Nothobranchius furzeri: one gene and its partner. The protein of the gene in region 1 purifies or fractionates together with the protein of each later gene. This does not show direct contact. Links are inferred from orthologs where the notes say so. Each region holds a gene or a part of one and is shown on either strand. Other genes may lie near its edges.

Evidence for each region.
Region 2: the proteins of nedd4a (region 1) and laptm4a purify together in Homo sapiens (affinity purification with western blotting; 3 studies listed by BioGRID). This does not show direct contact. The link is inferred for Nothobranchius furzeri from reciprocal best matches to the Homo sapiens genes NEDD4 and LAPTM4A.

Annotation. Positions count from the first base shown.
Region 1 is NC_091749.1:60,023,821-60,028,256, forward strand, and holds the start of nedd4a (E3 ubiquitin-protein ligase NEDD4), read left to right. Parts: upstream 1-1,517; 5' UTR 1,518-1,724; coding exon 1,725-3,014; intron 3,015-4,436. UniProt on the Homo sapiens protein: E3 ubiquitin-protein ligase which accepts ubiquitin from an E2 ubiquitin-conjugating enzyme in the form of a thioester and then directly transfers the ubiquitin to targeted substrates. Specifically ubiquitinates 'Lys-63' in target proteins.
Region 2 is NC_091742.1:7,585,095-7,589,624, reverse strand, and holds the start of laptm4a (lysosomal-associated transmembrane protein 4A), read right to left. Parts: upstream 3,112-4,530; 5' UTR 3,011-3,111; coding exon 2,882-3,010; intron 2,031-2,881; coding exon 1,910-2,030; intron 931-1,909; coding exon 854-930; intron 41-853; coding exon 1-40. UniProt on the Homo sapiens protein: May function in the transport of nucleosides and/or nucleoside derivatives between the cytosol and the lumen of an intracellular membrane-bound compartment.

The DNA of each region.
Region 1 (4,436 bases):
ATCACCAAATGTGGTCTACACTATTATTCAGGACAAAAAGGGTAGATTAAACACTTTCAAGGAAAAATATACTAAAAATCTTTACATAGTAGTAATAAGGAAAAGATTTGCTGTAGAACAAAGATCAACACAGATCAAGCAGCTCCTTCAGCCACTCGGAAATGGAACCAAACTGAGAACATTGATGTACAAACTGGACTTTTACAAATTGCCTTCTCACTCTTTTAACCTGTTGTTTATTATTAAATTAGTAGAATTTTCCCCTAAATTGTTCAAAATAGTCTGTACTGTAGAGGATTAAAAACTTGAACTGTTTTAAAAACATTCAAGAACTAAACCATCGATGTAGCATATTCCAGATTAGATGCTGCATACAAACAGTAACTGTTACACAGTGACTGAGAGGTTGGTTAAATACCTAAAAGTAAATAAACACAGCTTAAGAAACTAGTTCATCCACCTGCTGCACCTGCTGATTGATTTTTCCAGTCTTTACTCGAACCACACCTCTCTGACTCAGCTTGTAGTGACTACACAGCAGACTGGTTCTCTGAAAAGTTGATTAAATACCGCCTTTGTTTTTGTTCACTTTGATACCAAACTCATGGAGTTCTTAAGGGACGTGTCTCTGTATTATTGCCGCATGACGTCATTCTATATAAGCATTTGATATTGTATGGCCATTGCATTACTGTCACACGGTTCTGTTGGTTTAAAAAATAGGTTAGGAGTTCCACAGCGTCCTGCAGTGAGTCATGTCCTTATCCCGGCCGTGACTTCCATTATTATACTTTGGAAGCAAAGTAATGCCCTGAAATAGGTCAGGCAGCCTCACTGTTAATAAATTAAACTGTCAACATCTATGGAGAAGTAATAAGAGCAGCATTGACTGTTACATGAGGCATCAGATAACCAGTTTCATGACATTTATTTTTTCTTAAAACCTCACGTTTTTCTCATTAGGCAGCAGCTGTCCTGTTCCCTGCAGGAAATATTTAAAGTCACTGCTAAAACACTAAAAGGAGCTCTTGTGTTATCCTAATGAGCTCTGTGATTTACTGTCTGAAATGTGCTTTTGCAACCTGCTCCTTGGTTTGATGCAGAATTTTGTTGACATTCACTCGTTTGATTTCCTGTAATTCAATAGCAATGGGTAAAACTATTTGTGGGGCACAGAGCAGCAGAAACATTAGTAGCATAGCAGCAGCAGGAGTCCTGAGCGAATGGGCCAACGCAGATGTGACACTTTACCAGAGCTTCAGTCTAAAATGCAGCACGTTGGACTGTCATGCTTTTGTTTGTTTTTCTTTATTTTCAGAAGAAAAATGCTAATTTGTCTGTTTTTTTTTTTGGAGGCACAGTCGAGTTACGCTAGGCTTTTATTAGAATGCAAAGCTGAGGAAAAGGTTTTCCAATTATCTTTAGAGTAGCTTTGTTCTTCTTTATTGGGCCGAGGAATTTTAAAGGGGCTAATGGTTCGGTTTGAAAGGTCATGTGTTTGGGTCATGTCTCCAAACAGAACCACTGGCCTGCTCTGACTAAAAGCTGAGATCAGCCTGGAGAGGAATGTAGCTTGTCACCAGAGCTATTTTGGCAATGCGCAGCTACTAATGATTGTGATCACAGCGCATGGAGCTGTTGCGTTTGCTCTCGTTTTTTTTTTCCACCAGCAAGTTTGATCATGTACGTCTCGCCAGCCCTACAGGGATTAGTGAGTTGAACAAATGTCACATCAGCTCCGTTTGCATTTTGCGTCAAGGAGAAGCAACACGGACCCCCTGTCGGAAAGCCTCAGCAGCCAAGGTGAAGAGAGTGGAGTCAGTCTGTCGGCTCATGGCCCAGCGGAGAATCTGGCGCACAGCTCTGTTCACTTGAAGGTGACTCCTCTGTCACCAGACGTTGCCAGCAGTCAGTGCTCTTCAGTGTTCATACCCAGGGTTCACGCTGGAGGGTGTAATAAGAAGAGCGTTTTGCAAATTGCGCTGCAGCCCTGTGGGAAACTCGGTGGAAAACTGGATTGCAGTTTAGAAGATGGAGAACCAGGGGCTTGTGAAGTTGGAGCAGGTACCGGCTCTGACGGAGGTTCATGCAACAGCAGCATGGCCAGCGATGCGGGGTACTGTAGCAGCAGCAGCATCTTTGAGCCAGAGCTTCCAGAAAAGCACAGGACAATCCAGGAGAGGACTCTGCTTTGTCGCAAGTCCAAGGTCCCGCTGCGACGATGCTCCTCACTGATTATTATTCCGAAGAGCCCATGTAGCACTCCACCTGCTTCCCCAGGATGTGCTGTGACTCCGTTTGCTTACCCACTGCCAAAGGGTACTAATCAGTCACATCTTCAGACGTCTTTCAGTGATTTCTCCCAAGAGAAAGTAGGGGCGAGCTCCACTGTAGCAAGTGGACACCAAACATCAAAACGAAGCTGCTCATCTGAACTTAGGGACATGAAACACATGGTCCACTTTAATATTCCTCTACAGGATGGAACAAAATGCAAATCAGAAGGCAATAGCGCGTTGATGGAGCTTCCGTCAGCCTCAGACAGACCTAATCTTCACTCTAGCAGCGTGCTGCTGCATTTTGCCCACCAGAAACCAACAGTATCTACCAAGGGAGTTGTGGAAATGGTTGCAGCCAACGAAGCTCACCACCAAGTTCACCTATCTCAAAGGGAAAACATCAATCACAGAAAACTGTATCGCAGTACCTCTGCTTGTTTGTTTTCTTCATCCAAGCCATCAGAGAAAAACGATAAAAGCGGTTTGTCTGGAAAAGATCAAATCGGGCTTGGTGAAAAGCATCGTGCCATACAGAGGAGCTTTTCCCTCGAGGTGCCCTACCCTAACACTGGAATTTCATGCCACGTTTCTAACCCCGAGCTCTGCAGCCCTCGCTCCCCACATGTGCACATTCATTTATCCCCATGCTACCCCGGAAGGTTGCGAAGCTCTGTTACAGATGTTAAGAATCACAAAGAAAGTAATGCAGTAAAGGGTTCAGTTCAAAATGACAAGGTGAGTATGACATTTCTAACTCTTTAGAGGCTTTATATTGATCACCTAGTAGCCTTTTGTCAGCACTCTAGACCTGCTGCCACTGTTGTCAAACAAGTTTGAGTAGATTCCACTCCGTCATTGGTTCAGCCTCTCCTGCATCAATGTTCAGACATATCGAGAGTTTCTAATGAGTAGTATAAATAAACACCGCTTGATTAATTGTTTGTTGTAAACTTGCAGCTTTTAACTGATTGGTTGTTTTCATCAATGAAAATTTCTAAGTTCCAGTACACTGGAATAATGTCACCCTAAAGTCTTAAACTGTTTTTGCTTTGACTTTAGCATTAGACTGGTTACAAGACTTCTAGTAACTGAGAAGCCCTTTAACTTTAAGTCATGTATTTAACAAGCTGTGTGTGGACAAACATTCAGAGGTGTTCAGTTACATTACAGTAAATCCATCTGCATATTGGATACCAAGAAATGTGTAAATTAGAAAGACAGGTTCTCCATCTTGTGAATACCAGCATTCATCAGTGTGAAAACACAATTTCAGTAGAGTTTTCCACTTTTATTATTCTGTTAGCACTATAAGTGATCAGGTTAAGTATTTACCATGGCTATTTATAGAGTTGGGAAGCGCAGTGCCCCATGCCGATATAAATAAGGTGCCTCTGAAATATTCCCCCTGACTCCGGATAGTCTGCTGGTCTGTAGCACTGCCCAAAACCTGTGGATTCAAATTTAACAGCATGATACTAGAGTGGTGCACAGTCATGTCGGCTATCTGCGTACATGTGTGTGTGTGTGTGTGTGCTCGTTTCCAAGTAAACGGGTGGCGTGCTACCATCCCTGTGGGTCCCCCCACCAAGCAATGTTTGTGAAATATCAGCTGTCAGTCTCTTCCTGCGTTTAGCAGGTTGTCAAAGAGGGTCCACTTAAGACTTTTTAAATCTGCAAAGGTTTGTTTTCATATCCTTTTACTAGGGCTGAACGATTTTGGAAAACAATCTTAATTGCGATGTTTTCTTCAATACTGCAATTGTGATTGAATTCACGATTATTTTCTCAAGGGGTTTTTCTCATATTTTTCAACTAACGGAAGCAGAAAAAAAATGTAACTTGTACTGAATATAAACAAGTTTATGTATCTACATATGTATCTACATATCATATCAACAAGTTTATTTGTCTACACATCCATAAACACTCACAAGCCAAGACAAAATCTTGTATTCGAAGGTGCAATGCTTTGCAGCCAGGAGCACATCCCTTGAAGTCGCATAGGTATTGGCATCACCTGTGAAAATTTATTTGCAGGGAAGAAATGTGTCCCGTTTATTGAAGTCTTTTGTGCTTATAGTTTTTGACGTCTTGTCCATGCAGAGCTACTGTAGTTCAGTTACATTCATAGCTGCTAGCCAAAACTCTGTGGAGTTA
Region 2 (4,530 bases), on another chromosome or scaffold:
GCTGGTAGCAGAAAAACGGGATGAGCCATCCGTCACGATGCTAAAAAGAGGCAACGTGAGAAAAACTTGATTTATTATGAAAGTGAAACCCATAATGACCATTTTAACCTTCTCTGTTAGCACCCATTACATAAGAGCAGTCATGCGTGAGATCCCAGCTACCAAATATAAACAAATGCCACATCTGGGAAATGTTCTCAGCAATCTGAGAAACAGGAAGGGTTTTCTTCCAAATTTAGACGCTAACGCCATTTTTATTCCCAACAGGAATTAAGCACAGATTAGGCTTTAATATTAGAAACATGCAAACAGAGAAGGTTTAAATTTAACAACATCGGTTCCTCTTTTGTTTTTTCTTCCACTAAAAGCGCACACACAAGCCAAATACACTCCTAAATGATCTCTAAGGTTACTGAAACTATTAGAACTAGCTGCCACACAACCGTGGAAAAAGGAAGGGTGTCTGCAACCTTGGTCTGGAAGGACGTCCTTGCACAGCTCAAGTACAACTCTGCAGCGTTCCCAGGTAACGGTCATGTTATCACTGCACGGTCATGCTAACTAGTAGCTTAAAACATCAAACAGCTATCAAACCCGTCCGTCTTGACGCCATGAGGCAGGCCTGTGAGGCAAGCGTCATCGTGCACGATGAGAACACAACACGCTGCAACTAAAGAACACTCCTTTTAACAAGCAGATGACGTTCACGAGTTAAAAAAAACATCTTTATCACGCTCTTCTTACTAAATTACATGATTGCTGAGCTGTTTAGTTTGTAATTTAGCATTTTACAAATGAAACATTTAAAGTAGCTTAAAATAAAGGGAAAACGTACAAATGAGTTTAAACTTACAGTGATTGCTCCGTACACCATCATGGCGCTGATGGTAAGCATCAGCAGCGAGATAGCAAATCCAACACAAGCATTTTCTGTAGAAGAGATTAAAAACTAATGAGCAAATATTAGTTTAGAACAGCTTCGGCTTCATCTGTAAATGTTTAGCGAGCTACTTTAATGTTTTGTCTTTGTGCTGCAGGAGGCAGCTGTGATTTGCCAACACTGATAAGTGGACAGTCTCCCGGGCCGGCAGACTCACTTTGTATTAAAAGACAGCTCTAGGGAGCGTTAATCCTTTCAGCTGGGCTGGTAACGATATGAAGCTCAGTGTAGGACAATTAAATGATCTTCCTTTCATAGCCTTTTTACCCTTATCAATCATCCTCTCGCTTTAACTGCTGCGTTGGGAATGCCTGGGAGAGCTGCAGCGATGCAGCCGACACACCACAGGTCAGACTGGATAATACACACACCGGAATGAAACGTCTAGTGAAAATAAGCCTCTCTATTTGAGCTGATGACAATATTTTAATTATCTAAACATCTAAACTGTCTAAGGGAGTCTTTGTAAATGTTTTGTGCTCTTTCAGAGCACACCATTACAGTAAACACAGTTTTACCATCAAGGACTAATGACAAATAATGTCTCAATATTATTTGTGCAAGCTGTGCAACCCTGAAATAGGAAAACCAGCTCTCAGAAGTTATTTCTCCTTTTCTCTGGCTAATTCATTGCTTAAAAAAAGGCCAACCAATGATAAAAGCCACCCACTAAGCCTCATCATATTATCTTTACAAGACAAATTGTACCAAAGGGCAACAATTGATGGAAATAGATTAACAAATCCTCAAAATAGCCAATGAATAACTTATGTGGAAACATGTGCAGATTCCAAAAATAGAAAATGTTTTTTCACTAGTCTTTGTGTTGGTGAGCTAACTATCTGTACATTATGTTGAGGATTTCAAAGAATTTATGTTACACAATCTTGATACGTAGACATAATAATACAAGGACATTTCAATACATTCCGCTGTTTATTGGAGTTTTTAGACGACTTTTCCACTCACCGGACATCCTGTCGGAGGCAAAGTAATGGTCAATGACCTCGTACTGCAAGTCAATGGTAGGAACATTCTCTGGGTGCGTCACGGCCACAGTCAGAAGGATGCCCATCAACAGGTTGACTACCTGGAGTTCAGGAAAGAGTAGGGAAATGTTTAGTGAACACAAAATACAATAACAAAAATGCAATTATTGTGTTTGTAAACTATATTATAGCGCTTTCTAAAAAAAATGCAAGTGTCACAAGTAAGACAGTGGAGGGGGATACAGCCACTAGCAACAAAACAAGAAACACATATATTACATTCTTTCTTTTGGTAGATACAGTACATAATTGTGGATTTGATCTATTTGGAAGGTAATTAAACAAAAAAGTAAAAATTTTCATAATAAAACTAAGTCGGTGTCTTCCATAAAAATATTCAGCAAATTTGACCTATTTAGTAAAACATATATTCAGTCAATACTCGTGTTTTTAAATTGTGTCCATCTATAAAATAAAATTTTTTATTATGGAACTAATCATTATCTTAACGAGTTAGAATAAGGGTGTTTTTAAGGGGACACTGCGGAATCCCTTTACCCGTTACATTCATGTTGGCCGAGCCTCGGCTAAGTCAAATGTCTTCATATCTCACTTGTGTACAAAAAAATCCCAATTCTGACTACGTTTGGTCTTTTTTGTGACTTTAAGAACAAAAAAATATCCGTTTCAACTGGAAAAGACAACTAATGAGTTAGCAAGTTGTCGTTAACATTAGCATCCTGCTAGCATTACCTCAACTAGCTACGGCTATTTTAAGAGTCAAAATGACACACTGGGTAAAGTCACGCAAGTAAAGACCAATATAAGATAATTTTTAATTATATCCTGAAGAGATTAGTTACGTAACTCAACACTTATGCGGATTTTTGACAAGCGAACAGCGCAGGCTAGCGTACGCGATCACACAGTTATCGAGAACCATCTTACGCACCATGTACCATGTTCCCAAGATAATGGTCCCAGTTCGAACATGGCAACATCCACAGCACCGGGTGGTGTACAGTCTATCCCGACTTGGTTTAAAATGATGCATGTCCTCTACGAGAGTAGGGAGAAACATCTGGTCGAATTACCGAAAAGCCTGCTCAGCATCAACAGTCAGCGAACGAACACAGAGGAACGCCCACTCCGACGACCTGCGCACACCGCGGATGAAAACAAACGCTCAACAAACCGGAAAAGGCGGAGTCTGATTTCTTGACTGACGGGAGTTTAAGCCAATGACCACGTACCGCATAAAACTACTCAGCATCTTTTTAAGTGACAATTAGCATTTACTTAGATGTTCTGACAGTTTTAACATCTGTTTGCGTTTTTTAAATTTTAAATAACCGACAATGCTTCACAAAAACATAAATGTCAAAGAAATGAAGGAATTTCATGATCAAACATCAATCCAATCCAATAAAAAAGAACAAATAATTCAGACTTGTTTCATAAAAACAATGTTTTTGCTTAATCTGTTATGCTAACCTAGTTTAAGATGTAATTTTAGCTGAAAAAAACAACTACTTCAGAATAAGTGCACCACCATCCAACCCCAAGCTTGTACTTGCTAAATTATTTACAATTAAATTAAATTCTATAATCAGAAAAGGAAAAAATGCAAAAAAAATCAAAATAGAACTTGCTTCTCCTTTTCTGTCCCTGTTTATGCAGCAAATTTTTTGCATTAGTTGCATCTTTTGATTAGTTTTACCATAAACCATGGAGACAGATGAGTTTATACTTTTAATCATGTCATACATGGTGAAGTCCTAAATTAGAAGCAGATTGAGCTTCTCAGACTCAGTTTAAAATGTTTATTTTGGCATTTGTTCTAACTGATAATTTAGAGTTTGCTTTGTCAATAAGCTGAAATTATGTGAAATATAGAATGAAAACGTATTCCACTTTCACATTCCACAGTTCACAACACCACATTTCTATGTATCGTGTCACTTTTTGTTTCATAAAGTCTTAAATGAAAATCACTGATGAAATAGTTTCAGAGGTATTTTTTATTATTACAGAATAACAAAAAATATATGCACACATATATTGCACGACAGAAGCATAATTTAACTGTTTCTTCATGTTTTTATACATTACCCCACTGTTTTCCTTCCTTAGATCTATGAGGTGCCATTTGTAAAGTCAAACAGTCGTAACTTAGCAGTATTTTGGGTTATTTAGCATGCTCATAAAAAATGGGAGTTCATTTTTCAAAGTAAAAATTTCCCCATGTTATTCATACATTTATAAATATTAAAGATCCCAAGAAAATATTTAGTTAGCGAGCTAAATATTTAATTTAGCGTTAATTAATCAATTTACAAACTAAATATTTAGGTCTGACCTAAATATTTAGTTTACTTAATTATTTATTTATTTTATTCACTAAATATTTTATTTGGAGCTTAATATTTGGTGTACAAACAAAATATTTAGCTTCAAGTTCAATATTTATTTTTCTAAATAAATATTTAGATCCAAGCTTAACCTCAAATTTAGATTTTACAAATGTTTAGCTCAAAAATAAGTATTTAGATGCAATCTATTTTTTAAAGAAAATAAATATTTAATTTATTTAATGTATTT